Linked DNA regions of Callithrix jacchus. The protein of the gene in region 3 purifies or fractionates together with the protein of the main gene of each other region. This does not show direct contact. Links are inferred from orthologs where the notes say so. Each region holds a gene or a part of one and is shown on either strand. Other genes may lie near its edges. The genes, in order: PLXNB2, DAAM1, RHOD and DIAPH2.

What was found.
Region 1: the proteins of RHOD (region 3) and PLXNB2 purify together in Homo sapiens (affinity purification with mass spectrometry; 3 studies listed by BioGRID and IntAct, counting the BioPlex papers as one, with this or other methods). This does not show direct contact. The link is inferred for Callithrix jacchus from reciprocal best matches to the Homo sapiens genes RHOD and PLXNB2.
Region 2: the proteins of RHOD (region 3) and DAAM1 purify together in Homo sapiens (affinity purification with mass spectrometry; 3 studies listed by BioGRID and IntAct, counting the BioPlex papers as one, with this or other methods). This does not show direct contact. The link is inferred for Callithrix jacchus from reciprocal best matches to the Homo sapiens genes RHOD and DAAM1.
Region 4: the proteins of RHOD (region 3) and DIAPH2 purify together in Homo sapiens (co-immunoprecipitation; 3 studies listed by BioGRID and IntAct, with this or other methods). This does not show direct contact. The link is inferred for Callithrix jacchus from reciprocal best matches to the Homo sapiens genes RHOD and DIAPH2.

What each region holds. Positions count from the first base shown.
Region 1 is NC_133502.1:218,855,945-218,863,390, forward strand, and holds part of PLXNB2 (plexin-B2), read right to left. Parts: intron 7,374-7,446; coding exon 7,216-7,373; intron 7,139-7,215; coding exon 6,990-7,138; intron 6,841-6,989; coding exon 6,732-6,840; intron 6,582-6,731; coding exon 6,445-6,581; intron 6,282-6,444; coding exon 6,111-6,281; intron 5,679-6,110; coding exon 5,549-5,678; intron 5,441-5,548; coding exon 5,213-5,440; intron 5,107-5,212; coding exon 4,930-5,106; intron 4,864-4,929; coding exon 4,724-4,863; intron 4,569-4,723; coding exon 4,468-4,568; intron 4,356-4,467; coding exon 4,126-4,355; intron 4,045-4,125; coding exon 3,863-4,044; intron 3,460-3,862; coding exon 3,393-3,459; intron 3,167-3,392; coding exon 3,020-3,166; intron 2,487-3,019; coding exon 2,330-2,486; intron 2,191-2,329; coding exon 2,090-2,190; intron 2,012-2,089; coding exon 1,927-2,011; intron 1,687-1,926; coding exon 1,532-1,686; intron 1,457-1,531; coding exon 1,296-1,456; intron 744-1,295; coding exon 596-743; and 1 more.
Region 2 is NC_133509.1:94,024,654-94,032,099, reverse strand, and holds part of DAAM1 (disheveled-associated activator of morphogenesis 1), read right to left. Parts: intron 5,843-7,446; coding exon 5,748-5,842; intron 3,225-5,747; coding exon 2,891-3,224; intron 2,272-2,890; coding exon 2,161-2,271; intron 2,046-2,160; coding exon 1,942-2,045; intron 725-1,941; coding exon 658-724; intron 431-657; coding exon 313-430; intron 1-312. UniProt on the Homo sapiens protein: Binds to disheveled (Dvl) and Rho, and mediates Wnt-induced Dvl-Rho complex formation. May play a role as a scaffolding protein to recruit Rho-GDP and Rho-GEF, thereby enhancing Rho-GTP formation. Can direct nucleation and elongation of new actin filaments.
Region 3 is NC_133511.1:124,151,587-124,159,032, reverse strand, and holds part of RHOD (rho-related GTP-binding protein RhoD), read right to left. Parts: intron 5,063-7,446; coding exon 4,975-5,062; intron 4,273-4,974; exon of another isoform or gene 4,229-4,272; coding exon 4,119-4,228; intron 3,895-4,118; exon of another isoform or gene 3,515-3,894; intron 1,074-3,514; coding exon 825-1,073; intron 1-824. UniProt on the Homo sapiens protein: Involved in endosome dynamics. May coordinate membrane transport with the function of the cytoskeleton. Involved in the internalization and trafficking of activated tyrosine kinase receptors such as PDGFRB.
Region 4 is NC_133524.1:93,114,192-93,121,637, forward strand, and holds part of DIAPH2 (protein diaphanous homolog 2), read left to right. Parts: intron 1-2,454; coding exon 2,455-2,591; intron 2,592-4,416; coding exon 4,417-4,525; intron 4,526-7,446. UniProt on the Homo sapiens protein: Could be involved in oogenesis. Involved in the regulation of endosome dynamics.

The DNA.
Region 1 (7,446 bases), on a different chromosome or scaffold from region 3:
TTGTGAAGCCCTCTCCTATGTAGTTGTTAGACACGCCATGTTGTGCGTTCTATGTCCTTGGACTTTAACCAAAACATCTGCACTGGACGTGCTCACAGGCATGCCCCAGCTCTCCATTGCTTTTCTCTGTTTAGTAACAAAATTTTAAGTTGTCAGCCAATCGGGTTTTAGTTTAGATGGTGAGGTCTGGCTCCGGCCACCGGAGATCGGACACAGCAGTAAGGACGACCCCAGATGCGTGAGGAATAAATCCGTGTTTTTCCCTTTGTTCACTGCACTCTTGTGGTAAGATGGCTCGTGATGGTGCCCTTCCTGCAGCCCAGGAGGTAAAAATTGCATGGCCATAAAAAAAAATCCTTTGTCTCGGTGCTGATTTTTCTTTGCGACACCAGTGTCAACACTCAGCTTCTCTGCTTATGTACAGGTCTCAGGAGGAGAGAGGGGTCTCAGAATCTCCCAGGATCTGCCCCAGACCCCTCTGCCCCCAGCCTCGGCCACCCTCCACCCCCTACATCCAGGACTCAGGCCCAAGATGTAAAAATCCACACCCGAGACAAGGTCCTCCCTGCCCCAGACCTGCCCCCGCCCCACTCACGCGGCTCAGCTTGTGCTCCGTGCGTGTGCAGGCGTCCATGAAGGTCTGTGCAATGACTGACAGCGAGGCATCCACCACCTCGTGGACGTGCACATCAAAGATGAAGTGGGGGTTCTTGAGGATGTTCACCCAGAACCGGAGCGGTAAACTGAGGCAGAGCAGAGGGGAGTGAGAGTCGGGGCTGGGCGGCAGGATGGGTGCAGGAAGTTCAGGTCATTGAGAGGTGGGGCCGGGCCGGGTGGGCTGCAGGGTGGGTGCAGGAGGTTCAGATGAGTGAGAGGCGGGGCCGGGCCGGTGGGCCGCAGGGTGGGTGCAGGAGGTTCAGATGAAGGGTGGGTGCAGGCGGGGCCGGGCCGGGTGGGCCGCAGGGTGGGTGCAGGCGGGGCCGGCCGGGTGGGCCGCGGGGTGGGTGCAGAGGTTCAGATGAGTGAGAGGCGGGGCAGGCCGGGTGGGCCGCAGGGTGGGCCGCAGGATGGGCCGCAGGGTGGGTGCAGGCGGGGCCGGGCCGGGTGGGCCGCGGGGTGGGTGCAGAGGTTCAGATGAAGGGTGGGTGCAGGCTGGGCCGGGCCGGGTGGGCCGCAGGGTGGGTGCAGGAGGTTCAGATGAGAGAGAGGCGGGGCTGGCCGGGTGGGCCGCGGGGTGGGTGCAGAGGTTCAGATGAGTGAGAGGCGGGGCCGGCCGGGTGGGTGCAGAGGCTCACCTGTTGGTCTTCCAGATGTGGATGGTGTCCTCGTCCTGGATGCTGTGCTTGTCCGCCTGCTCGTCCAGGAAGTCGAAGAAGTACTTGACCGCGGGCGGCACGGCGTGCCCAGGGGCCAGCACGCTGTGAAAGAAGTTGTCCACAAACTGCTGCAGCGTGCCCTGTGGGGAGAGGGGCTCAGCGTGGTGCCGTGGCTGCGGCTCCTGGGGCCAGCCCACATGCCCACGGCGGCCTACCTTGACGGAGAGCAGCCTTGTCAGGTAGATCTCAGTAATGGCTTTAGTCCGCTCCTTCTCCTTCACGCTGCCCCGCTTGGATTTGCCCTCGTCCACCTCTTCGGCCGGCCGAACCAGGTGCCACACCCGGTTCTCCTCCTCCAGCAGGGCATGGCCTGTGGGGAGCAGGCGCTGAGGGACCCCTGGGGCCTGGGTCCCACAGCTCCCCTGGTTGGTGGTGGGAGGGCTGGGCCTCGGCCACAGCCACTGGGCCACCTCCCCAGAGGGGCTTTCAGGAACCTCCCGTGCCTGTGCCCCTGAGGTCAGGGTGGGCAGGACTGCATGTGCCAAGGGCGAACACGGTCTGCACCGACCTCCAGGAGCTAGAAGGAAATGGGCAAGAGGGACAGACTCACGCTCCCCAGGCAGGTCCTGCTGGCTGTCCTCTGGCTGCTGGGAGACCCCCACCTTGGACAGGATGAGGGTGGCTCCGTCCCGGACCTGGGAAACACAGCAATGAGAAGGGGCCCTGCCCCCGGGTTCCCGGTTCTAGCCCGCCCCAGCCCACCACACACTCACATTATAGTGCATGAGGGTGTTGACTCGCTTCCACCGGCCCTCCCGCTGTGACGTCAGGTCCAGGTCCGACAGGATCTGGGCTGTGGAGCCTGGACGCCACTCTGTGGGAAGAGACAGCCCAGCTTGGGCCCAGGCCGCCCAAGTTCCTCCCACTGCCCACCACTCCCAAGGGAGAAAGCCGGCCAGGACCTGCCACAGGACCTGTCCACTGCGTGCAGACAGGCAGTGGCCGGCACTCACCGAGGACCACGCTGTCTGGCCTGGGCCAGCAGGAGCAAGGCTGCCCACGGTACACCTGGTCAATGATCTTCTCCTTGACCTGGGAGATGGTGTCACAGTTGAGGACCTTGACCTGGATGGCGTCGGCTCCCTCGTCCTGCACGATCACACTCACCGTCTGCAGAAAACACCGGATGAAGCCCGAGGGGAGAGGCCCTTGCTCTCACCTGCACCAAGCAGGAGCCACTCTGCCCACCACAGCGGCACCCTCAGGCGGCAGGCCCTGCTCTGAGCCCCCGAGGCTTCCGCGATGACCACACTCTGCCCTTCCCCTGCCTGCTCTGCTCAGTAGGACAGAAAGCGGGGACAGCTCAGAACTGCTCACTCAGGCTACCACGCAAGCTCACAGAAGCACATGTATAGGTCACGAGCACAGGATCCGGTCACTCGTGCACAGAATATGGGACACCAGGCCCCTCACATGCCCTAAAGGAGGCAGGGGCACCCAGGAAGAGCTGACACTTACAGCCTCCAGAGCTTGCACCCACGAGCACCCAGGCCCTCCCCGAGCACAGAGAGCTGGCTCTACTTGAATCCACACAGGAGGCGGACAGCTCTGGCCTGTGGGTCCTGTCTACAGCCAGGGATGCCCAAGCTCCTTAGGGCAGGTCCGAGGAGGCCACAACAGCCCTGCCCGCCCCGGGAGCTCACCAGAGGTGTGTACTCCACGTCGTCCCCCAGCAGCCCCGTGTCATTGAGGGTATACTTGGCCTTCTTCTGCACCGCGTCCACGGGGCCCTTTTCCACCTGATGTTTGATGGCCTTGAAGAGCTTGTACAGGGGCTCGCCGGCACTGTCCTGGGGTAACACGGAGGGGAGGCTGGGAAGTCAGGGGGCTTGCGGCCTATAAGGGGCCCCCTGAGGCCTGGTCAGAGGCATAGATGGGGCTGGCGGTGTCAGGGACAGGAAGCGAAGCTGTCCAGGCAGGCCCCCCGCAAGGTGCTGTACGGACAGGTGGACACTGAGGGGGACGGCACCAGTCTGCCTTTCCTGTCAACCCCAGCCCAGCTTGGGCGGGACCCACCTTGAGGTGCTGGTACAGGCAGATGGACATCCAGTTAGACAACATCCTCTCCACCACCGTCTCAGACCTGGGGGTGCAGGGAGCCTTGTACCGAGTGACGCCCTAGCACTCCTGAGGCCCAGCAAGTCCCTCCAAGCAACTGCCACCCTTGGGCCAACAACCTCGCCCCGATCCAGGCCTGGGTGTGGCCTGCAGCGAGGACTGCCTGGTGGCAGCTCCAGCCCTTGTGGGGGGGGCAGGCTAATGGTCCCGTTGTGCAGCAGGCTAATAACATGACCAGCTGAAACCACCGGGCAGGAAGGGCTGGAGTCTGGCTTTGTGTTTGCTGCCAGGGACACCACCCCTGGGCTGCCCCCAAACGGTGCTGGCTGGCACCTGCCGGCTCCTGGGTGCCCCACTGGCCTCCATGCCACCCACCACCAGCCCCAGAGCCCCTGCAGCCGCCCGCCTGTGACCCCACCCGTGTGCACCTGCGCAGCATCAGCTTGGGGTTCTTGGCAACCACATACTGCTCCAGGAGCTCCAGGAAGAGCGTGCGCATGATATCCGTGTAGTACTCCAGCTTCCCATGCAGTGCCACCGTCAGCAGGGACGCGAAGTAGACCTTGGCTCGGGCCGAGAACTCCCGCTGGTTTTCCAGGGTGTGGATGAACTGCGGGGGCCGACAGTCAGAGCCTGCCCGGGGCCTGTGCACCCTCCCGCCCGCCCTCTGGCCCGCTGCCTCCCGGCTCACGTTGATGAGGAAGGATTTGCTGTTCAGCAGGTTGGAGAACTGGTAGAGGGCCTGCTCTACCACCTGCCGCCTCGGCTCGGGGATGTCCAGCTTGCCGGTGATCATCACATCCTTGTCGCCGTCCTTGGAGGGCAGGAAGAAGACTCGGTCGGTGTAGGTCTTGTAGTCCAGCACGGGGATCCCGGCCTCGTGCACGTCATTGGTCTGGTCCTCCATCTCGATCATCAGGTCTAGGGGGAGGCTGGCGTGAGACGTCCTGGCCACCTGGGGCCCTGACCCCCGCCACACACAGCATTCCTGCCCCAGGAGGTGCCCGGGCGCCTGCAACCCAGCCGCCCCTACCTGTGAATTCCTTCTTGCAGCGATCCCGCACGCTCTCCTCCAGGCCCTCCAGCTGGGACTTGATCTTCTCGTACTCACGCTCAGCCTGCTGGCTCTTCCTCCTGCGGGGCACAGGGAGACTCCTGGGTCCTGCCCGGCCAGCCCCTCAGCTGCCCGGATGAGGAGGTGGATCTACATGCCTGCCTGTGCAGGGCGGCAGGTGAAGCCAGAGAGGCTGAGGCAGGAGGGCGTTGGCACAGCCACGGGGCAGGCTCACCAGTAACAGTAGACAGACACGGCAATGACGACCACCATGGGCACGATGACCAGCGGCAGGATGAGGCTGAGCGGCACATCACTCACACGCGTGTCGTACTCCACACGGCCCAGCACCCACTCTCGAGAGCCGAACTTCACCTGTGTGGGGGGCCAGGTTCAGCTGGGTCCCGAGGGGGCACCCCCCGCCCACCCGCACTCACGCACAATGAACTCAGGCAGGTTGTGGGTGGTGTCTCGCTTCTGCCGCCGCTTGGGCGGGGGCTGCACCTCCGGGGGCTCGCAGTACAGGTCGGTCTCCGTCAGCGTCTTCATGGTGCAGCGCTCGGCACCCACAAACGCCTCGGCTTCCTGCAGCGTCATTGCCTTGTTCAGGTTGGTGCCCTGGGGAGCGGGCAGAGGTCAGGGTGAGCAGGAGGGAAACGGGGACACGGCCCAGCTCAGCCCAGACCCCAGCAGGACCCAGTCCCTGTGGCTGCGGCATCCTCACCCGGGCATGGATAAGCTTGTTGACCTGCTTCTTGACGCCACCTGTGAAGTTCTCAAAGGTGGGGTCAGGCACATACTCAAAGGCCCCAGCCTCTGTCCTGAGCAGTGCACGGTGCCCGTCCATCTCTATCAGCGCCGTGAGGTTGTAGGCCTCGGGCTCCTCGGGGACAGCCGGAGACAGGAAGACCACCTTGGTGTCATTGTGGAGCACGTAGTCCGTGCCCACCACCTGCAGGCAAGTCCCGGCCATCAGACCACGGGTGCAAGCCCCGCCCTTCCCGGGCACGTCCCCATTGGCTAGCGCCAGAGCTGAGCCCCAGCCTGCACCAGGACTGACCGTCATGGGCTGCAGGGATTCGGCCTCCCGTGGAGGCTGCCAGGACTGCAGGGGCTCTGCGATGACCACCATGGCGAACCTCTGGATCAGGCTGAAGCCCTGACCCGTGACGTTGATGCTTCGGCCACCACTGGGGAGGGGAGTGCCTCTGTGGGCTCAGCTGGCAGGGGTGGTCCCTGCAGGCGCTGCCCTCCCATCCCCACCCACCCTGGCTCAGGCCACGCAGGGCTTCCAGGTGCACGTGTGGGTCTGGGTGGGCAAAGGGGCAACACGATGGGCCGTGCTGAGCTCGAGATTGTGCCACAAGTGGGCAGGGGGGCACGCGGGGCCTGGTGAACATAGAGTCTGAGGTGTGCCCGTCTGGTTTCTAGGAGGAAGCGGATCTGGGGTGCAGTGGGGTTTTCAGGAGGCCTCCTCCCACTGTGCAGACCAGCCCCACCACATTCCTTTCAGTGAAGTCAGCCGAGAGCACAGAAGAGGAAGCTGGGTGTGTGGGTGTGGGGAGCAGAGGGTAGCTCCCCTCCTCCCCACAGGGGACGAAGGGGCGGGGCACCAGCCTCACCTGGCAAAGCTTCGCAGTGGCTCAAAGGCTCGCAGTACTGGGTTTTCACGGTAGGTGAAGATGATGCCGGGGCTGGGCACAGGGGAGCCCCCGTAGGAGACCTCCAGGGGCATCTGGCCCCGTGTCGCCTGGGGGCCGGTGACACACTGGAGCTGCGCCCCAAACTTCGTCCTGGGGGAGGGAGGGTGCTGGTCTGCGTCAACCCCCTCCCCCGACCAACCCCAGCCCGACCAGGCTGGCCTCGCCATCTCCTCCACCACGCAGGTCTCAGTAAGTGCCCCCCTCCATACCCAGGGCCAGAGCCAACCAGACAGCAGCTGGCGGTGACACCCACACTTTACACGGGATGCCGCTGAGGGTCACCCGAACGTCCTCCTGGGAGCCTGTGTCCAGGTGGGTGCCGTGGATAGTCAGCATGGTGCCACCCGCCTGCGGTCCCTCCTGCGGCTCCACACTGAGAGGCTGGGGCTGCTAAAAGAGCCGCAGGGGCACTCGGGTGAATACGAGGCTCAGGACACCCTCAGTCCTGGGCTGGATAATAACGCTGGTGGGAAGGCGGGGGGCAGAGCCCTCTTCCGGGTTTAGCAGCTACAGGACAGGTCCCCAAAGCCAGGCACTCACTTGGAAGGTGAACTGGACGTCGGGAGGTGAACGACCGAGTTTCCCGAGGACATCCACCTCGACACCCCCAGTTAAGGGCGCCTCTGCAGCCTCGATCACACACACAATCCTGGCGGATGACAGGCAGGGTGTCCCAGGCCCTCCCTGATCCACCCGCTTCCTGACACTCTCACTCCTCAGCCTCTACACACACCCAGTCACCCAGAACCCCGGCATGGGTTTTGACCCAGCTGAAGGGGCCCAGGGCCGTCCACTTACCGGGTGGACACGGAGTAACCTTCTGGCTGAAAGGTGCAGTTCCGGCCAGCCACAGAGATCCTCTGGATGTCCTCTGCTCGGACACCCAAATTGGACCCCAGGATGGTGACACGGATGCCCCCGCCCAGGGGGCCCGTCTCAGGGTGGATCTGAAACCACAGAGCCAGGTGAGCAGGGGCTTGGGCCAGGCGCATAGGTGGCGTGGGCCAGGCTTCAAGGGGCTCACCCTGGTGATGACGGGTGGTGGGCACTCGGAGGTGGCATTGCAGAGGGCCTCGTACACGCACCTGCTCTGACCCCCACACCACGCACACTTGTAGGTGGGGTGAGCGGCCCGGCACAGGCTGCAGTCGCTTCGGCCAAAGGAGCAGTTGTAGAGAGTCACTGCGGGGAGAGCAGCAGTCAATGGCTACCCCAAGCCTGCCCGCCCCCACCTGCTCCCCACTGCCCCTGCCCA
Region 2 (7,446 bases), on a different chromosome or scaffold from region 3:
TGTACCAATGCTTCCCAAAGTTTATCGAATTTTGACATGCAATGATCATTAATGTGATTGAGAGGGACCTTCTATACCTTTCTAAACAGGTTGTAGGGCATATTTTTTATTTTTTAAATCAAAATTTTGTTTCATTAAAAAAATTTTGTAACACCCCTTAAGCTATGTAGACACACGAACTGGGCTGTCATAAAACCAAGCCTTGGAATCTCTGGTGTGCACCAAATGTAATCAGCACTGCGCAGGGGCCAGAACCCTTTGGACAATGTCCAAACATTCAGAAGCACACATGTAAGTCACAAATACACTTACAAGGCATTTGGAGGCAGTGGTGCAGGATGGACATGAAATGCGGGTAAGCTTCACTATGAGTCAGCCTCTTCCTGGTCAGCTCAAACATCTGAGTTGCACTTTTTGTGTCTATGTGAACCTATTTTATAGGAAAAAGAAATCAAATCAAACATCTAAGTTCTTCAATTCCCCCAGTGTAAAATAAACTTAAAGCAAACAGAAGCTAATCCTGCCCCTTAGGTAACAAAATAGAGCTTCGATTTTGCTTTTAGGTTGCATTAGTCCCTATGAACTCTATAACACACATTACAAAGAGAAATAATGTGAACTGATAAGTCAAACCAGAATAATTGTAAGCATATATACCAGTTCAAATCTTTTGGCAAATTCTAGTTCATCTTCATTCCGGAGCATTTCAAAAAAGTCTAAATGCCTGAAAAATAATGAAAGAAAAGTTATTAAGTAGAACATCCTACAAACACAGGTGCATAGGACTGAGGACATGAATACTAAGGTTTTTCCTGACTTTTCAGAGATAGCTCAGAAAGAAACAATGGAACAAAATTTGAATGCTTCAACTTAACTATGTTCTTTCTAAGGAAAAAAGACATCACCTGAGTGAAACAGATTACAATAAGAGAAAAATTTAAAAATCTAGGCTGCCTAGCGTATAGTAGGCAATTATTAAAACTAAATCTAAAAACAATCAAGTCCAAATTCCATTCATGGATTCCCTTTATGGAAAAACATGCCCATAAACCTACACTTAACTTCCAGCTGAATTAAAGGTGACAAAACAAATGATCATGCCATTCATTTATTCAGTCATGTATTTATTGAGCACCTACTATGTATACTACACACCCTGGATGCATTTTATGAAGACAAACACATCAGGGTAAAAAAAATAGAAAACGGTGGCAGATGAGGTGAATAATGTACACAGTGGTTACATAAGGTCTCTCTCCAGGGAACTAGGGAACAAACAATTTGGACATCTGTGAAAGATCTTTTGAAGCTGAGGAAACAGCAAGTGCAAAGGCCCTGACGCAAGAGTGTTTTGACGTGTTCACAGACTATCAAGAAGAAGAGCATGCTGGAGTATATGAATATAGAGGAGAAGAGAACAGTGGTAGAGAAAAGCTCTGAAATCAAGTAGGGATAGTTTAGAGATAGTAAAATGATTGCAAACGAGCAAATGAATAGGCAGTGGAACAGTCACAGTATGCCTGTCAAAAGGGCTAAGTGATTCCATAGGTTTTTTTAGTCAATTTTTAAAATATTCCTGGAAAATAACTGTCATTATCATCATTACCACCAGCGCTTATTTTTTTTTACAGGAATAAAAATAGCAAAATTCGGAAAAATGGAGTAACTTCACCAGGATACACAGGACGTACGAGGCAGGACTAGGATAAGACATGAATTCAGGTCTAACGCCAAAACCCACATTACGTTTTCTATAAAATGTGCTGCTTCCCTCATCAACAAAGTCTTACTATAAAAACATCATTAGTTGAACTAACATTCTGGTACAAGCTCTTTACATTACAGACGGGGCACAGGTAACCACAGGCCAGCACTTGATGAGGCATTGCATTACAGATGGAAAGCACAGAAACTTTCTCACATCATAGCATTCTGACTTACCTATCTAACGTTGAATTTTCATGTTCCCTTAATTTATCTATTACAGGTTGAATTCCTAACATCAGAAATTCATAGCGAAGATGAAGTCTAAAGTCCAAACTCTCCTGAAAGTAAATGGGCAATAAAATACATATTTGTGGTTTTTAGACTAAATAGTAATCACTTTTTATAAATTATTCTTTACTAATAGATTTTTAATTTATAGTAGAAGGTCCTTACCACTCCTGCTCCTTGGCTGAGCACCGCATTAATGAAGGACATGATTGCAGTCTTGAGACTCACTTCATCTCGATACCGCCCAGTGCTTTTATCCAAGTCGTTAATTAATGTCTATCAAAAATATAAATATAAAAACAAAGGACTGAAACATTACTAACCTTATGCTCATTTTATGAATTTTTTTAGACTCAAAGTTAACTTTTCAAATCTTGTGTTTAGTCAGGATTATACTGACCCATAGAAAGCACCCTTTTCCCCCCTTAAGAACAGTCCTAAAAACTCTAATTTCAAAATTCTTACATCATACATACATGTATACAAAAGCCTTTGGTTCATCACCTCCGCTTGCTTTTTACATCTGACTAATATACTGAAATATGAAAAATTATTCATATTGATCCTAATTCAAGAATGGCAAGCTGTAATATTTTCAGGGAACACCCAATTTGGTGGGTTCAAAAGATGTGAGCTGTATGACATGTAGGATGCAAGGCCACAATTTCAAGTTCTGCAAATTTAAAGCTACAGACTGATCAACTATGGAAAATATACTCTATTCTCTGGTTCTTAAATCTAAGAAGGAGGGAATATTTGAAGTCACATTGTGAGTAATCACCACAGGGGGAAATGTAATGTTCTCAAGTAATGTTCCCCTTCAGAGACAGGAAAAGCACGTGTTTGAGCAGACTTTAAAGAAGGGGTGAGTGAAGAAGGCTGAGGGAGCACCCACCTGAAAGCGGGTCCTTTCACTGGCATATTTCTGGTAGTGCAGCATGGCCTGCAGAACCTTCTTGTGGCCCCCAGGAACCAGGCACACGGCGCCCAAGATTTCCAGCACGGCCACCTTTGTTTTAATGTTCTCTGTGCTCAGACTCTGAGCAATTACATTAATACTCTCAGAATGAGCCAGGACATGAGCCCGGCCTTGAGAGTTGTTCATTAGTGCCTTTATGCAGCCAATGAGAGAAGTATGTATTCGAGACTCTGATGTCTCATAGTCCATGGTCTTTAGAAAGTTGAGGATACATGACAGGCCATCCAAGTCGATGAATCTGGTTACAAACCTGTTGTGAAGAGAAGTACACCACACTTAAGTCCCTTTGGGGTTTTATAATAGCCCCTAATAGAAAAGTCTGGAGGGTGGGGGAAAGTAAAATTTAGTTCCTGAAGTGCCAAAAGGCTTACACTGATGAAGTCTTTTTAATGCTCTGCCTCTTCCTCAGCACAGACCCAACGGTCAGGTCTAACCAAAAGTGTGAAAAAACAAAACCCTCCATTTGTGCAAAACACATCTCAACAAGAACAAAGAACCAAGTAACAGATCACATGCTTATAAAAAAGCAAGAGAATACTCAGAATACATATCTTGTCTTAGGTTAAAATCATTTGCAGATCCTGTGTTATTTAGCATACAGTTCCAGTTCCAATACCCCACCCATCCCCCGTTTTGTTTTTAAGAGAGACAGGGTCTTGCTCTGCCATAGCTCACTGCAGCCTCGAACTCCTGAGCTCAAGTGATCCTTCCATCCCAGCCTCCCGAGTAGCTTGCTATTTTCCCCAGACTGGTCTTGAACTCCTGGCCTCAAGCAAACCTCCTGTCTCAGCCTCCCAAGTAGCTGGTATAGTGAGTGACAACGTCCAGCCATGCGCTTTTATGTTGACTGCTAATGCACTTTTAAGTGCTGATCACTGACCTAAACGCCCTATTAATGAAAGTCAAGAGCTTCCTTACATTCCAAAATATTTGCTTGTCAAACAAATGATAATCTATATCCCAAAAATTTTATTAAAAAACTATTCTCTTGTTTGACATGCTACATGGAATCTCATTATTCCATATACATGGAATACAATAATAAAGCAATACTTTGTTGTATATTAACTTTATTAATATTTCTTACACTTAATGTTAAGCTAATCAATGAGAATAACTCACAATACACATGTACATAGCCACTGAAAAGCTCAGAAGTAACATAATCTGTTTATGTGATAAATTTTCCAAACTTATTAGCCTTGGATATTGATTAACATCTGAGAATGCAGAACACACTGAGAGAAACGGTGACAGGATAGTCTAGAGCTCAGTCATATAACTACACAACATTTTTAATGAATCAGGCTTTTCTAAGTTTTCATTTTATAGTCAAATAAAGAAAGGGAATCTTTATTTTCTAGGCTTTTCACCCAACCACATGACCCAGCTATAGCCAAGCTCATTAAACCAGCTGGCTTCATTCATAGCACCTGTGCTCATGAAATGTACATATAAGAACCTCAACACCTCACCAAATCCTACAGGCATTAAAGAAAAATGAAAGTGCAGGAGGCACACCATAGAAGCTGATTATCAGAGAGGAAATGAATCACTATTGCCAGAAAGTCTACCCATCTTAAAAAAATTAGTTGTATTGAGAAATAATTCACATGCCATAAAATTCACCCTTTTAAATTGTACGATTCAGTAGTTTTTAGTATATTCACAGAGCTGTGTGACCATCAACACTATCTAATTTTAGAAGAGTTTAATCACCCAAAGAGAACATTTTCCCCACTTCCTCAGCTCCTGGCAACCACTAATCTACTTTCTGTTTCTATGGATTGGCCTATTCCGGGCATTTCATAGAAATAGAATCATACAGTATGTGGTCTCCTTTGTTACTGGCTTCTTCCACTTAGTATATTTCAAGGTTATTTCATGTTGCAACATGTATCAGCACTCCATTCCTTTTTTTGTAGCCAAATTATATTCAATTTTGTGGATATATAACATTTAATTTATCATTTCATTGGCTGATGGATATATGGTTGTTTTCACTTCTTGGCTATCATGAATAATGATATGAACATTTGCATACATGTTTTTGGGGGACATGTCTTCATTTCCCTTGGCTATATTCTTAGAAGTATAATTACTGAGTCATATGGCAACACTATATTTAAAATTCTGAGAAACTGTTAAAATCCTTTCCAAAGTGGCTTCACCATTTTATGTTCCTAGCAGCAATGAATAGGGTTCCAATATTTCTACATTCCTGCCTACTAACTTGCCATTGTTAAAGTCTCTGTCTTTTTTATTTTAGCCATCCTAGTGGCGGCCTGTATACCTTTGAACAGAAGAAAATAGTTTTATTGGCCGGGCGCAGTGGCTCACACCTGTAATCCCAGCACTTTCGGAGGCCAAGGCGGGTGGATTACAAGGTCAAGAGATCGAAGACCATCCTGGTCAACATGGTGAAACCCCGTCTCTACTAAAAATACAAAAAATTAGCTGGACATGGTGGCGCGTGCCTGTAATCCCAGCTACTCAGGAGGCTGAGGCAGGAGAATTGCCTGAACCCAGGAGGTGGAGGTTGCGGTGAGCCAAGATCGTGCCATTGCACTCCAACCTGGCTAACAAGAGCGAAACTCTGTCTCAAAAAAAAAAAAAAAAAAGAAAATAATTTTATTAAATGTTAATGATTAAAATATGTTACTCATGGTTTAATTTTATGGTTTTAACTTAAGACTTAATAGAAGGTTTGACTATTGCAGAAAAAAGGAGGGAAAAAGGAGAGAAAAAAACCATGCTAACCAGGGAAAATTACCTCATTGGTTTTGTCCTCAGTGCTGTCTTCAAACTCTCTATAGTTTTACTTCTCTCTTCTTCTTCTTCCTTCTCTAAGGCCAGCAGAGATTTTCTCTGTACAAAGAAAACAGAAGTCACTTCTTCAAATTCTATTTTTTAATTACAGTACAAGCAAGACAAACCTAAGATTATTTGTTACCATCACTTTAAATATAAATAATAAATCTATAATCAAGTAAGCTAGGTCCTTCAAATTCTAAATAAAGCTTTAAGGAAAAGTTTAGAAATCTTAGTAGAGACTATGTTGCCCAAATGTTTGTATAACTATTCTACAATTACACTTTGATATAGATATTACTATTTGTATTTGATAGAAATAAGATTGAACCTGTAGTTGAATACAATGTTCTGGCAATTACATCTGAGTAATATAGTGAAACATGAAAAATTATTCATATTGATCCTAATTCAAGAATGGCAAGCTGTAAAATTTTCAGGGAACACCCAATTTGGTGGGTTCAAAAGATGGGAGATATATGACGTGTAGGATGCAAGGTCACAATTTCAAGTTCTGCAAATCTCAAGTCCCAGAGTCTGAGAAATTATCACATTATCAAAAAGAGGAGGTGGGCAGCAGTCCTCCCACACTACCATCCCTATTCCTCAGCCAAAAAGTGTAATCAAGACCAAAGGGATTTTGTTACATCAAATTATTTTTTAAGAAGAACAATTAAATTGGAGCTATTACTAGGATAGACAATTCCTTCAGAGTAAAGGCTTAACTTCTAGAAATGATTCACCATCATTTAGAAATCAGAGTGTGAGTGTGAGTGTGTGTGTGTGTGTGAGTGTGTGTGTGTGTGTGTGTGTGTTTCTACACAGGGATCTGCTAGAGCAGTCCTTCTCAAACTTTAATGTGGATTTGAAAATCACGTGAGGATAGTCTTAAAATGTGGAGCCTGGTTTGGTATGTCTGGTTTGAGCCTGGTTTGAGGTGAGGTTTGAGATGCTGCATTCTTGACACATTTCTAGGCAATGCTGATGCCGCGAGAGCAAGGTTTTATGTAAGACTGCAGTAATAATTCACGATTATAAAATCATGAATGCCAGTAAGGTGTCTAGTCCTTTCCATTCCCTTTCATTCAGCGATCACCTGGTTGTCCTACAGTACCCCCAATCTGATGACTCCAGGAACCTCCACCATGGAGCTCCCAGTCCCTGTTCTTCATCCTATTCTGAACACATGCTTGTCTAGTTTCAATCTTTTTACCTGTTACAAATTCTGACAGAAATGCTTGGCTAGGAAATACACTGGGGTGACTGTACTGAAAAAGAAAAGCCTGACTCCTATCCGTGGGTCTCAATGATCCAGTCACGGCTTTTCTTCCAGGACCATAAATCATCAAGGGTGACAATCAATAGTGTCAGCATTAAGTAACTAAATGCTAACTAACACCTAAACATGATTTCATAATGAGAAGCGTAAAGCTCAAAGCAAAATAAATATAATACATCAGTATAATGTACGGCAACTGAAATAAAAACCAACACTGTTATTGTTTCTGCTAAAGTTGTCCTCTTGCTGGTGATGATCCTGGACAGCTGTCACCAGGGGATGATGAGGAAGGAAGCTGTGTGCAGAAACAGCCAATGAATTCCCCAAAGCTCCCTGAGACCCATCCCCTGGAAAATTCACACAAATCCAGCCAAGAACGTTT
Region 3 (7,446 bases):
GCCTGGCTAATTTTTGTATTTTTAGTAGAGACTATGTTGGTCAGGCTGGTCTCAAACTCCTGACCTTGTGATCTGCCCACCTCGGCCTTCCAAAGTGTTAGAATTACAGGAGTGAGCCACCATGCCTGGCCTTTTCTTTCTTTCTTTCTTTCTTTTTTTGAGACAGGGTCTTGTTCTGTTGCCCAGTTGTCCAGGCTGGAATGCAGTGGTGCAAATCTTGGCTCACTGTAACCTGGAACTTCTGGACTCAAGGGATCCTCCCGCCTCACCCTCCCAAGTAGCTGGGACCAGCCACTATGCCCCACTATTTTTTTTTTACTTTTTTTGTAGAGATGAGGTCTCCCTATGTTGCCCAGGCTGGTCTGAAACTCCTGGACTTAAACAATTCTCCAGACTCAGCCTCCCAAAGTTACAGGCATGAGCCGTTGTGCCTGGCCCTCATTGTGTTTCTTACCTCTGTTCTGCGCTGGGCCTCTTTGCCTCTCGAGGCACCAAGAAATGAACTTCCCATGGACCCAAGTGTGTAGCAGAGGGACCCACAGTCTGAATATGTGGGTGCCTGCCTGGCCTCCTCTCTGGGTCTCAGGTTGGTGGTGGAACTGACTCTGATACGCCTACTTTCTTGTTCTCCCTTCTGCCGGCAGAGGCTCCCAGGGTATTCTAGGGACCATTTCCAAGTGCTGGAAGTTCCTGACCTGACAGCCCCTAAGACGACCCCTGCTCTGACCTACACCCTGAGTGTGCTGGATGCCTGGTGCCACTGAGAGGCATCCAGAGGTCCCCGCCCCCAGTCACCCACTCCCACCTCAGGCTGGGTTTCCTACCCTGTGGTAGGTCACAGGCTCCAGCCCATTTCTTCGGAGCTTGTTCACCAGTGATTTGTCCTTGCGCAGGTCAGTCTTGCAGCCCACGACGATGATGGGCACTTTCTTGCAGAAATGATTCACTTCTGGGTACCACTGCAAGGGGGCGAGGGGGCGTGTGTGAGCCCCGGAGAGTTCCGGCCCTCTCAGCGGGCCACGCTCCCGCTCCCCAGCCTGGACTCTGATATCGGTAATCCTCACAGCCAGCATCTAGGGAGAAACTATTCAGTACCAGACTCATCTAAGAATTTACGCATATGGACCCATTAATCCCCCAACTCCCTGGCAGCAAGTTCATAATCAATCCCACCATGCAGATGTGGTAACTGAGGCACAGAGAGGCAGTGTAACTCGGCCTTGGCTGGAAATGGCAGGATTTGAGCCTAGGGGTGGGGCTCCTGCCCTTCTAGAATCCTGCCTCTCTGCAGGGTAAGGGCCCTCACAGCCACCCCCTAAACTGGGCAAAATATATAAGGAAAGAAGTGATTCTTTGAGAATAAATCTGGCCAGGTGCGGTGGCCAGGTGCGGTGGCTCATGCCTGCAATGCCAGCATTTTGGGAGGCCAAGGAGGGTGGATCACCTGAGGTCACAAGTTCGAGACCAGCCTGGCCAACATGGTGAAACCCTCCGTCTCTACTAAAAATACAAAAAATTAGCTGGGTGTGGTGGTGTGCACCTGTAATCCTAGCTACTTGGGAGGCTGAGGGAGGAGAATTGCTTGAACCCAGGAGGCGAAGGTTGCTGTGAGCCGAGATCGCGCCACTGCACTCCAGCCTGGGCAATAGGGAGAGATTCCATCTCAAAAAAAAAAAAAAAAAAAAAAAATAGCCAGGCGTGGTGTCACGTGCCTATAGTCCCAGCTACTTGGGGAGGCAGAAGGAGGAGAATTATTTGAACCCAGCAGGCGGAGGTTGCTGTGAGCTGAGATGGAGCCACTGCACTCCAGGCTGGGTGACAGAGTCTCTGTCTCAAAATAAATAAATAAGTAAATAAATCTGCCCATAAAATGCCGCAGCAGCTGTCTGCCTCAACTGCTTGCCTGGTGGAGGGAAGGCTGCTCTGCAAAATGTGAGGCCACCAGGCCCGAGTTATTTCAGCCTGGACTGCAGGTGGGGGGCTTGGAATCCAGAGAGGGGGCTTTCTATCTCCAGGAGCACCAAGTCTGCCGGCTCAGGTGTCAAACGTGCCCAGTAAAAATTGGCATCGGCTGGGCTTGGTGGCTCATGCCTGTAATCCCAGCCCTTTGGGATGCCAAGGTGGGCAGACACTTGAGGCCAGAAGTTTGAGACCAGCCTGGCCAACGTGGTAAAACCTTGTCTCTACTAAAAATACAAAAATTAGCCAGGCATGGTGGCAGGAGTCTGTAATCCCAGCTACTCAGGAGGCTGAGGCAGGAGAATAGCCTGAACCCAGGAGGCGGAGCAGAGATTGCACCCCTGCATTCCAGCCTGGGCAACAGAGTGAGACTTTATCTCAAAAAAAAAAAAAAAATGGCGTCCCACTACCTCATTCCTGGAACCAATGGGGCCTTTGTGGGGTCCCTGGCAGATTCCCCACACCCCACCCATCCACCAAAGTGTTAGTGAAAAAGGTTTCCTTGGTGCCTCCCACTTAACCCAGCAGTGAATATGCTTTTTTTTGAGATGGAGTCCCACTCTGTCATCCAGGCTGGAGTGCAGTGGTGTGATCTCAGCTCACTGCAACCTCCACCTCCTCAGTTCAAGTGATACTCCTGCCTCAGCCTCCTGAGTAGCTGGGACTACAGGTGCCTGCCACCATGCCTAGCTCAGTTTTGTATTTTTAGTAGTGACAGGGTTTTGCCATGTTGGTCAGGCTGGTCTGAAACTCCTGACTTCAAATGATCCACCCACCTCGGCCTCCCAATGTGCTGGGATTACAAGGCATGAGCCACTGTGCCCGGCCACCAGCAGTGAATCCTTAGCCCTGCTCCTACCAGATCCCTTGACAGCCTTGACCCTGGGCATCACTCCCTCCTACCTGACCAAGCCTGCACTTCACCCCAGGACCCCACTGTCCTGATCTCCTAGGTCTTCTGGGGCCTTATCCTCCTCCTCCTCTCCCTGGGGCACAGGCTGTGGACTTTCCTCTCCTCTAGCTGCTCTCCCTCCTCTCCCCAACAGTCCTGCCTGCTCAGACGAATTGCAGAAGCATGCCTCGCACTGCCTGCCGGATGCCTCCACTAGGATGTCCAGCAGACCTGCCTTCTCCCCATCCCACGCCCCATCCCCAGCTTGCTCCTCATTCTAGGCAAGGGCGACTCCACCTTCCAGCTGCTCTGGTAAAAATTCCTCCCTCCCATCCACCTCCAATCCATCAGCAAACCCTGATCATCAGCAAACTCCGCCTTCTAGACTGATTCAGAATCAACCCCCTCCTCACCACCCCCACGGCTAGCACCCTGGTCCCAGGCACCACCATCTCTCCTGGTCCCCAGTGCCCAGAACAACACCTGGCAGACGGATGTGCTCAATCATTCGTTCTGAATGAATGGGTGGAGCAGGCTGCCTGGGTTCAAACCAGTGTTACCACTTTAATAGCTGTATATCTTTGGACGAGTGACTCGATCCAGGAATAATAATACTCCATAAGGTTGGCCGGGGTGGGTAAATGAGTAAATACATGCTAGTACCCAGAGCAGTGCCTGGAACGTGGTCAGTCCTTAAAATCGTCGCCGTCGGTGTTGTTGTTGTTGCAAATACTATCACAGGTTGTACCCGGCAGAACCTCGGAGGCCCTGGTGGCAGTGGGTGAGGGGCTGTGCCACGGCTAAAGGCAGCTGGAACAGAGAGGAACTCAAGGGGCCACATCCCTGATGCCCGTGGGCAGCCTCTGAGAACCAGCAGCCACGAAGAGCTGCTGGACTCTGACCTGACGGTGCATGTGCCTCGGGCAGGCGCAGGCTTTGGAGATGCAGGAGCCTCTGGGTCACCAGCAACCTCAGGCAGACTCGAAGTGGGAAGAGCCACAGCGTTCGGAGTCTGCAGCCTAGAGTAGGCAAGGAGCCCTGTACTGGGAGTCAGAAGGGCAGATGCTGCCACCAAATCCCTGTGCCAGGGACCCTGGGCAAGCCACTGCCCCACTCTGGGCCTCAGTTTCCCCATATATATGCCAGAGCCTCTGGACTCAATGTCATCTCGGGCCTGCCAACCTCTGACAGTCAGCTGGGTCAAGGGTGGGCAGCAGAGCCAAGTGGCCGGCTATGGGGGCTATGCCTCCCTGCATCCCATACCTACCCGGGCAGAGACGTTGTCAAAGCTGTTCGGGCTGGTGACATCGAAGCAGAGCAGCAGGACGCTGGCGTCAGGGTAGAACAGGGGCCGAAGGCGGTCGTAGTCATCTTGCCCTGGGCAGAGTGGGGGTGGTCACTGCCTTCAGGGTTCCTGGCCCCTATCAGCACCGCCCCAATGTCAGGAAGTCACCCCATCAGATGGGGAGCTTCTGGGGACAGGGCCTAGTTTTGTGCCTCAGCATCTGGCACAAATTTGGCTCTGAGGTGGCTACTCTATGTGAGTGCCCCCTTGGGGCAGTGCTCACCTCTGCCTGTGGAATGTCTGGAAGGGATTCTGGGCAAGGCAGAGGTCAGGCCTGGCGCCAGCTGGAGTAACTGGGGCAACTGCTCAGAAGCCAGCTTTGCCCTGAACTTAGGAGTGAGAAATGAGGGGTAGGTGGGAACCTGGCAAAGACATCTTAGCCTGTCCAACTAAGAGGGCTGCTGGGATGCCCTGAGCTTAGCTTAGAGCTCAGCCTTGAAGAGGCAAGGTCAGGAGGCTGGAGGGCAGAGGCTTCGGACAGGCAGATCTTACAGAAGCTAAAAGCAGGGAGGAGTGCTCAGCAGGCCAAGAGCAGTCCTAAAAGCGAAGCACTGGATTCATGCTTGCCTCCAGACGTAGCGGGCAGCCCTGGGGTGCTGGGGGTACAGGTGGACATGGCTGCAGTGGCAAGGAGGGCTCAGGTTCCTGGGCCGACTCCTGGCCCACACTTGTCCCTTGGAGACTGGCTGGCCTCCCTGTTTCAGCAGAAGGCAGAGTGGAGTCTGTCCCAGGCATCTGGGGGACGTCTGGGGCCCTGCCACCGCCCCTGCACACCCACCTGCTGTGTCCCAGATGTGGAGGTGCACAGGTTTGCCTTTCACTTGCACGTCAATCAGGTGCCGCTCAAACACCGTGGGGGTGTAGCTCTGAGGAGAAGCAGGGCAGGGCAGGCTGTGAGGACACTTCCGAGAGGTGCAGGACCCTGGGCTCTTCACCACACCATACCTTCTGTGGGTCAGTGCAGTGTAGTTGTTTCTGAGAAGCCTCTTCCTTGGCCTGCCTGGGTGGCAGCCTAGAGTCTGTCTGTTTTTGCAAGGTCTTGAACCTCCCCAGCTTTGTTCTCAGTTGTGAAATGGGAATATTAAAAGTCCCTACCGGCCAGGCACCGTGGCTCACCCCTGTAATTCCAGCACATTTGAGGTGGGCAGATCACTTGAGGCCGGGAGTTCAAGACCAGCCTGGCCAACATGGTGAATCCCATCTCTACTGAAAATACAAAAATTAGCTAGGCATGGTGGTGCCTGTCTGTAATTCTAGCTATTCAAGAGGCTGAGGCATGAGAATCGCTTGGGACCGGGAGGTGGCAGTGAGCAAAGATTGTGCCACTGCACTCCATCCTAGGTGACAGAGCAAGACTCTGTCTCAAAAAAAAAAAAAAAAAAGGCTGGGTGTTGTGGCTCACACCTGTAATCTCAGCCCTTTGGGATGCTGAGGTGAGAAGATCACCAGAGGTCAGGAGTTTGAGACCAGCCTGGCCAACATGGTGAAACCCTGTCTCTACCAAAAATAGAAAAATTAACCAGGCGTGGTGGCAGGCACCTGTAGTCCTAGCTACTCAGGAGGCTGAGGCAGGAGAATCAGTTGAACCCGGGAGGCGGAGGTTGCGGTGAACCAAGATCACACCATTGCACTCCAGCCTGGGTGACAGAGCAAGACTCCGTCTCAAAAAAAAAAGTCCCTACCACAGTGCCACCTGCTATAAGGATTCAGGGAGGTGTTCCGTGCGGAGCACTTAGCTCAGGGCCTGGCATAAAATAAGCACATCTACATGCCAACTACTGTTATTTTTATCATTGCTCTCTGGATAAGGGCAGGGTTTTTTCCTTTTTTTTAGAGCAGGGTCTCCCTATATTTCTGAGGCTGGAGTGCAGCAGCTATTCAAAGGCACCATCACAACTCAATGCAGCCCCAAACAATCCTCCTGACTCTGCCACCCAAGAGCTGGGACCATGGGCACGTATCGTTGGGACTCCCATTTCTGCTGTCCCCTCTTCCTAGAACACTAACCTCCATGTTTATTCATTCCTTGTTTCGTTCATTCATCTATTTGTTCAGCGGCAATAGCACCTTCTCTAGGCCCAGTTCTGGACACTGGGAAGCAGGCAACAAAAGACTCAATCCCTGCGCTGGGGAACTCACAGCTTTTTGGGTTTCTTCCCTTGTCTCTCAACCTCTCACAATCCAAACAAGATGCCACCACTCGCTGAGGCTGGAGTGCAGTGGTGCAATCTTGGCTCACTGGAACCTCCACCTCCTGGGTTCAAGAGATTCTCCTGCCTCAGCCTCCCGAGTAGCTGGACTACAGGAGCGTGCTACCACGCCCAGCTAATTTTTTGTATTTTTAGTGGAGACAGTGTTTCACCATGTTAACCAGGATTGTCCTGATCTTTTAATCTTGTGATCCACTGGATTTGGCCTCCCAAAGTGCTGAGATTACAGGCGTGAGCCACCATGCCCAGACTGTTTTTATTTTTTTTTTCTCTCTTTTTCCTTTTTTTTTTGAGACGGAGTTTCGCTCTTGTTACCCAGGCTGGAGTGCAATGGCGGGATCTCGGCTCACTGCAACCTCCGCCTCCTGGGTTCAGGCAATTTTCCTGCCTCGGCCTCCTGAGTAGCTGGGATTACAGGCACGCGCCACCATGCCCAGCTAATTTTTTGTATTTTTAGTAGAGACGGGGTTTCACCATGTTGACCAGGATGGTCTCGATCTCTTGACCTCGTGATCCACCCGCCTCGGCCTCCCAAAGTGCTGGGATTACAGGCGTGAGCCACTGCGCCCGGCCCTCTTTTTTCTTTTCCATACATATTCTTCTTATGTATCTTTTTCTTTTTTTGTAGAAACAGTTTTGCCATGTTGCCAGGCTGGTCTCAAACTCCTGAACTCAAGCAATTCACCCACCTTGGCCTCCCAAAGTAATTTTTTGTAGAGATGGGATCTTGCCATGTTGCCCAGACTGGTCTTAAACTCCTGGACTCACAAGATCCACCTGCCTCGGCCTCCCAAAGTGCTAGGAGTACAGGTGTGAGCCACCACGCCCAGCCCAGTGCCCCACGTTTGGGCTTTCTTCTTTGTTCTGCCTGGGCTTGGGAGGAGGTCACTCAGGACAGAGGCCCCTCACTCCAGCCCTGCCCAGCCTAAGCTGACTGCCTTGCCATGAAGATGACATGAATGGGCAACAGGCCAGGTTTTGTACATAGATGAAAATGCAGGAATGAAGAGGGAGCTTTTGCAAGATGGGTCTGCACAACA
Region 4 (7,446 bases), on a different chromosome or scaffold from region 3:
CCTTTTATATAGTATTTTAATCTCAAAATAGAAATAATTATAGCAATAACTAGAAGTTTGCCAAATATAAAATATAGCTATTAACCAATGCAATAAGATTGTATATTAATCTATAGAGTCTCAAGCATATGGAAATATATATAAGTATATGTTATACATACATGTACCAGAAAAGAGTATTAATATATCAGTATATGTAATGAATGTTTGCTAGTGGACATGAGACTCCTGAATACAATATGCTAGTTGTACTGTTTCTGGAAGTTTCTTACAGAAACATTCCCATCACTACTGGTACAGATTTTCTCAAATTCTGGGCTCTTAGTGTTTGGCTACAAAGTTAAACAGAATCTGATGCCTAATAAGGAATTAATGAGCATTGCTGCTTCACAGCTCAAGATGGAGCTCTTTCTTCAATTGAAGGAAACAGTCACTTGATGGAAAGAGAACATAGTACCAGAACTCAGGAATTACAGTTCATGCTTTGCCCCTAATAAGTTGCATGGCCTTTGGAAAATTACTTGACCTCTCTGAGTATCAGTCCCCTCATCTGTAAATTTAGCTATAGGACCCTTTGTTCTAAGTTTTTATTGACTCATGTTGTCAATTATCACAGCTTTTCAGGATGCTAAGTAATTTTAATCAGGACAGTCACTAGAGAGAGTTGTAATAGAAAGATTCTTATAGAGCCTTTGTTTTCACAGGACATACTTTGATTTGTCAACAGATTCTTAAGAGTTTGACAGTTTCAAAAAGCATGACGATTTGACTTAGATTATTTAAAATTGATATTTTTAGTTAGGCCATGTTAATGTCTTGCACATGGGTACTCGGAGCATGAATTAATAATATTTTTAAATTATTGACATGTGACAAAACAGGCATAAAATATGCATTCAGAATAGAAAATATACAGTGATCTTTTCACTTCATATTAGAATACATTGTCCAGATCAAGGAATTAAGCTTTTATCCGAAATGACTTACACATCAAATTTTTTGACCCCATGGAGTTTAGATTACCTACTTCAAAAACTTCTTTCTCTTATCCAATGCATATAAAAAATAGGATCATAAAAAGCAACCCATTGTTTTAACTTCCAGTACAATAATACTGCTCTGATGTTTGGATTAATGATTTTCCAGATATATTTTTCATGTCTTTTTTTATTTTCGATGTGTTTCTGCATGTTAAAAACTATTTTTAAACATTAGGTAACATTTTTAAAAGCTAAATGATTTCACTCTCAGTCTCAATGACTCAAAGCTATTAAGTTTGGTAATTGCATTGTAATCATCTATCAGTTTTACAAATGTGTTTTTCACTAATATTCATTACTTTTAATCATCTACTGGCCACCTTTATGTGTACTTATCTATTTTGTTTTTGTTGCTTCTTTCCAGGCATGTTTCTCCATTTTGTTTTGTTTTTTTTTTTTGTCTTATCTCCGTATATTTTCTTATTTATTATAACCTATGATAAAGTCACATTTAAGAGCTTTAGCTGTGTTCCCCATCTGCCACTCTGAGTTCTTTTAGAAGTTAAATTAGGGATGATGGAACTATTCATATGGTTGGTAATTAACTAAAGTTTAGCTGAAATGGAAAATCTGCTTCAATGAAATATCCAATTTCACTATTAGACTGTAAAATAAAGCAAAAATATTTGATAAAAAATCACAAAAATACTTTGTGGGACAAAGATCAAAGAATAAGTTGTCTTCTTAATGTAATAAATACTCAAGTTTTAGACTTTCATTAGAATTTCTTTACTTATTCATGCATGCACATGCATACACACAGGTATTCATACTTAGAAAATAAATGAAGATGATGTTTTCTCTCTTTAGTTGACTTGTGACATTTAATAAAACACAGGTGCCATATCTTTAGGTTCACAGCTTTTGTAGTGTAGCACAGCTGTCTGAATCAGGGAGGATAAGAGACAGAAGGCATGGGAATACCCATACTGAGGCTTATACTGGCATATAGTATTCAAAAGAGCCTTTTTAAAAAAAAAACATTTTTCTCTTTTTCTTCACCTTAATTTTTCATACAAACATATTGGACAATTTAGCCATGAATTCCAGACATCTCCAGGGAGACCCAATGACATAAGTAGAATTACTTTAGAAAATCATATCAGTATGTGCTTTACATGTTATTCTTTGTTGAAGAAATACTGATTGTTCCCATATTTCTCCAAATTTATGGAATTTTTAGGGCAGGCTAATGGAGATCATATCTGATCAAGGAGCAACAACTCCAAGATGCAGTCATTTTAAATAAAAAACAAAGACAGATATCTGCATTTGAATAATATTCATATAATTAGGTAGAACCTTATTGTGGGGGTATGGATTTTTGAAAGATCATTGTAAGTTGCTTTTTTAAATTAAAGATATATTCCTTAGACATTTTGAATGATGGTTCTTTTTTTTTTTTTTTTTTTAGTTTGGATTACAGAGGATTCTAGGAGATGAAAGAAGTCTTTTACTATTGGCAAGAGCAATTGACCCCAAACAACCCAACATGATGACTGAAATAGTAAAAATACTTTCTGCTATTTGCATTGTTGGAGAAGAGAACATGTAAGTATTGCTATATTATTATATTTGCTGCATGGAAAATGACATTTGAGAAATTAATAAATTCTACTTTTGTCCTACTTCTTTGGATAACTTTCATGAAAACAGTATTTTAGATAATTTTTGATTGACAGTTTTATCTTGTCTGTTTATATTTTGGCTTTTTTGTTGATATTATGAAAACTAAGTTTAAATAGATAGAATCCTAGTGGGAAGTTCTTGGAAATTTGATTCATAGTGATTGAGTAGAATTTTGTTTTGCTGGAAGTACAGCAATCATTAGAAAGTGGACAAAAGTCAGAGAGTTATTTTGGCAAATACACACACATATATACACAAACACTGTACTGCATATCACACAATTTGAATAGATGCCTTTGTTTTGCATTATTATCTTATAATAGTATTTTACTTTATATGCCATGGTCAATGAAAAGATGAAGTAATTATTTGTAGAGTGAAATAAACCAACCTGTTGAAAGCAAAAATAGGTTGTTCATAATTATTCAAAGTGTATAAGTGCTACCAAATGCAGCAAGTTGTTGCAGAACATGCATTTTATCATATCTTCTTATGGAAATAATATTGAATCAGAAGTAAACTTTCAGATTTGATGACATTAGTAAGTCTAGTTTGTAAGAAACCATTGTGATAAAGAATCAAATATCTGCTAAGGACCTGCACTATGCGATATGTTGACTTTCTTATAATTGCTAGCATAAAATGAGATGTTGCTTAGTGTTAGCTACTGTCCTCAGAAACCAAAAGACAAACACTAAAGAAAAATACTAAGTCTCACTCAATGAAAACAAGCTGAGAATGAGATAACATATGCAAAAGCAAGGATCCTTAGATTTTATTGTTTTAAATCTCAGTTTACACCTGTGTAAGAAATATTTTTAATCACTTAGATTTTCAGTATTCATTAAATACAGTCTAGTCCAGTATAACTATTATGATTTAACTATAATTTCAGATATAATTTGGTAAGAGTAGTATACTACATAGAGGTTAATTTGTTTTAGGCACTGTGTAGCATTACTTAACAATATTTTTGGTCAGGTTAATAAGTTTCTTGTGCTAGATAATTATACATTCTTCTTTAATTACCTGGGCTTTCCTTTTTAGAGTCTTTTTTCTTTTTTCATTTTCAAAAAATGTTGATTTAAAAAATTATTTAAAAAATAATCACTCTGTCTAGAACTTTATTATAAAATTACAATCTGCTTATGTTCTAATTAACTGTTAACAATTATAGGTGCCATATTATGTTTAAGTGATATTAAAGTTAACACATGAAATATCAAAACCTGAAAATTTAAATTTTAATGTTTATCGCTTAGTATTCTTTACAAAATGTCACCCAGTAAAGTTACTTTCTTTAGAATTTTTAAAATCGAATTTTCCTTTTGATGCCCTAAAATTATTTACATCTATCAGTATTGGACTTAAAGAAATATGCAGACAGAAACACAGTTCTTATATTGTAATGGTCTTTCATTTAGACCAGAGGAATCAGTTCAAGAAATCTATTTTACGCCATAGTGACTATAGTTAATAACACTTTAAGTGTTCATACCACAAAAAAATGTAACTACGTGAGGCAATATGTGTTAATTAGCTAGATTTAGCCATTCCACTATGTATACATATTTGAAAACATACACTTTTCATCAATTAAAAAAGTAAATGATAATTTTAAAAAATTATCATAGTATATATAAACATCAAATACCAGAAAGAAAGCAGGGAATACTGAAAGAACCCATGCTTATAGTGTGTGTATAAGAAGTATTTCTCATTTCTGTTTCTTCTTTTTTCTCTACAGTCTAGATAAACTTTTAGGGGCTATAACAACGGCAGCAGAAAGAAATAACAGGGAACGATTTTCACCGATTGTGGAAGGTTTGGAAAATCAGGAAGCCTTGCAATTACAGGTGAGTTCGTTTTGTCTTAAATTGCTTCTAGAGTTATATTTAGAGTACTCATTTTGTATGACATCAACTCCATCTTAGCTGACATTTAAATAGTATGAAATGTAAAACTAAAATTTTTCTGTTTCTTGTTTGTGAGAATTACATTTTTTTTTAATTCCGACAGATACTTTGGAAGTATTATAAATATGGCAGTTATGACTCATTGATATTTGGACAGGAATTTAGTAATTAATATAATAGACCAGGGAAATTGAACCCTTAGCAATAATCAGACAAAAGGGCAAGTAGTTCAGCCAATGCCATTGTCCTAACATGTGTTAATGAAGTCTGTGGACTTGTAGAAATTTAAGACAATTAAACACGTCTTTCTTTGTGCCATTCAGACAACACTCAAAGGTCTGACTCACCAGAATAGAAGGGATTAAATTGCAGTTCTTAGGTTCGTGTCCATTTCATAGCCCTATTTAGACACCACTTACTAAATGCCTTCTTTAGAAAATGACAAATCTCACTGTCTTTTCTTACATGGTTTCAGGAAATGATCCATTTTATGAATGATAACTCAGTTCTTGAGGAATGAGAATGCATGTTTATTGCCTATATTTATGGTATGAGATCCTGCACTAAACATGTTAATTTCATATATTATTTGATTTAATTCTAAAAACAACCTAGATATGTAGCTATTACTATAGTATCATCTTTGTTTTGCTTATGGGATGAATAAGCTGAATGAGATTAAATAACTGGTCTAACGTGACACAGTTTTTAAGTGGTACAATTGGAATTTGATTCCAGGTTTTTGGTCTCTGCTAATCTCTCTTTTATATACCATTTAATGTACCGTGGAAAAGTCTCTAAAATTTGTTTTTAATTTTCGTATTGTCATTCAACAAAGAGAAGGTAGTTTCTACATTTAATGTTATCAGTATTGAATGTTTAAGTATTAAAATTTCTTGCTTGATGTGAAACAAACACAATTAATTTTCTCCTTTTTTATATATTCTGTAGTATTTGTATCTTTGTTTGCCAGAATTTGAAACGGCAAAAGATAGATGAATTGGCTTGTCTAAAGAGAATCTGTAGGCCGGGCGCGGTGGCTCAAGCCTGCAACCCCAGCACTTTGGGAGGCCGAGGCGGGTGGATCACGAGGTCAAGAGATCGAGACCATCCTGGTCAACATGGTGAAACCCCGTCTCTACTAAAGATACAAAAAATTAGCTGGGCTTTGTGGCGCGTGCCTGTAATCCCAGCTACTCAGGAGGCTGAGGCAGGAGAATTGCCTGAACCCGGGAGGCGGAGGTTGCGGTGAGCCGAGATCGCGCCATTGCACTCCAGCCTGGGTAACAAGAGCGAAACTCCGTCTCAAAAAAAAAAAAAAAAAAAAAAAAAAAAAAGAGAATCTGTAATGTAACAAAATTGTAATTCTTCTCCAAATATTCAAGGATCTTTGTTAATCATGACTTATACTCCAATGATACTAAACATTTTGGATCAACTTTTATGGTGTACTTTTCTGTCAAATATATTACTTATTTATTTAATTAATTTTTGAGATGGAGTCTTGCTCAGTTGCTCAGGCTAGAATGCAGTGGTGCGATCTCCACTCTCTGCAACCTACAGCTCTCAAAGCAATTCTCCTTGCCTCAGCCTGCTAAGTAGCTGGGATTACAGGTGCACACCACCACGCCTGGCTGATTTTTGTATTTGCAGTAGAGACGAGGTTTTGCCATGTTGGCCAGGCTGGTCTTGAACTCGACTTCAGGTAATCTGCCTGCCTCAGCTTCCAAAAGTTCTGGGATCATATTACATATTTCAGAAATTAGGATTTTTTTTAGCAGTGTTTTCCTTTTTATAATACTTTTTTCTTATAAAATTTAATCTTGATAAAATTTCATACCTCTACTGAAAGGTGGAAAACTGCCTTTTTTTGACGACCTTGAATTTTTTGACGACTAAATTTCATACTCAGTTTGTCATACTTGGGCCAAAAACATTGATATATTTTTTAAATCTTCCTTAAATAAATTTGTAGCCACAACTCTGTGAGTTATATCAGTAAACTCTGGTTTACTGATCAGGGAATTGAATTGCTGGAAGGCACTCAAAAATCACACAGCTGTTAAGGAATAGAGCTGTAATTTGAACCCAGGTCTTTGTGATGCCAGAATTTAAATACTGCATTGCCTATACTTTCAAGGGACACCTCTGCCAATGAGTAGTTCACCCCAAACAATAAGATGGGAAAGATACTTGCTAGCCTTCAGGAAGCTGGACAGAATGGAATGATAAAATAACAAGTTGTTAACAAGTAACATATGGAAGAATCACAGACATCTTGTTAAGTGTTCAAAAAACTGTTGAATACTGATTATAGATGCAAACATATGCACACCACAATTTAAAATTTCACATTTTAATGAGCTACAAAAATTAGTAATTTGTTATATACAGAGTCTAGTACTCTCACAAGAATTGTGAAATGAGTTTGTTTATTTAGACTATTTAATGTGAATGAAAAGATATTCTGTAAAAGTTCACAACTATATTCAGAATACAGAAACAAAAAACCAAAAGTTTAAATCTGTTGTTTAAAAAATACAATTAGTGTTGTATTTTAGCAGAACTACTTTTCTATTTCTGTAGTATCCTGAGACTTCCCAAAATGTTATTACAGTCTCAGGAAGTAATTTTGTTAAAATACAGGACTAATTATTTTTTTAAATAACAACTATATACATTTCCCCCCCTTTTTGGGGTTTTTAAAAAAGGTTATTAACTTCTCACAGATTTTTTTCCTAGCTTACCTTTAAAGTGAAGTTTTGTACCTGTGATGGGGATTTTCATTATCTTCAGGAGTTCAAGAAATAGGTGGAAGATATATCGCATATCTTCATACACTCTCTCTTCATTGACCTACC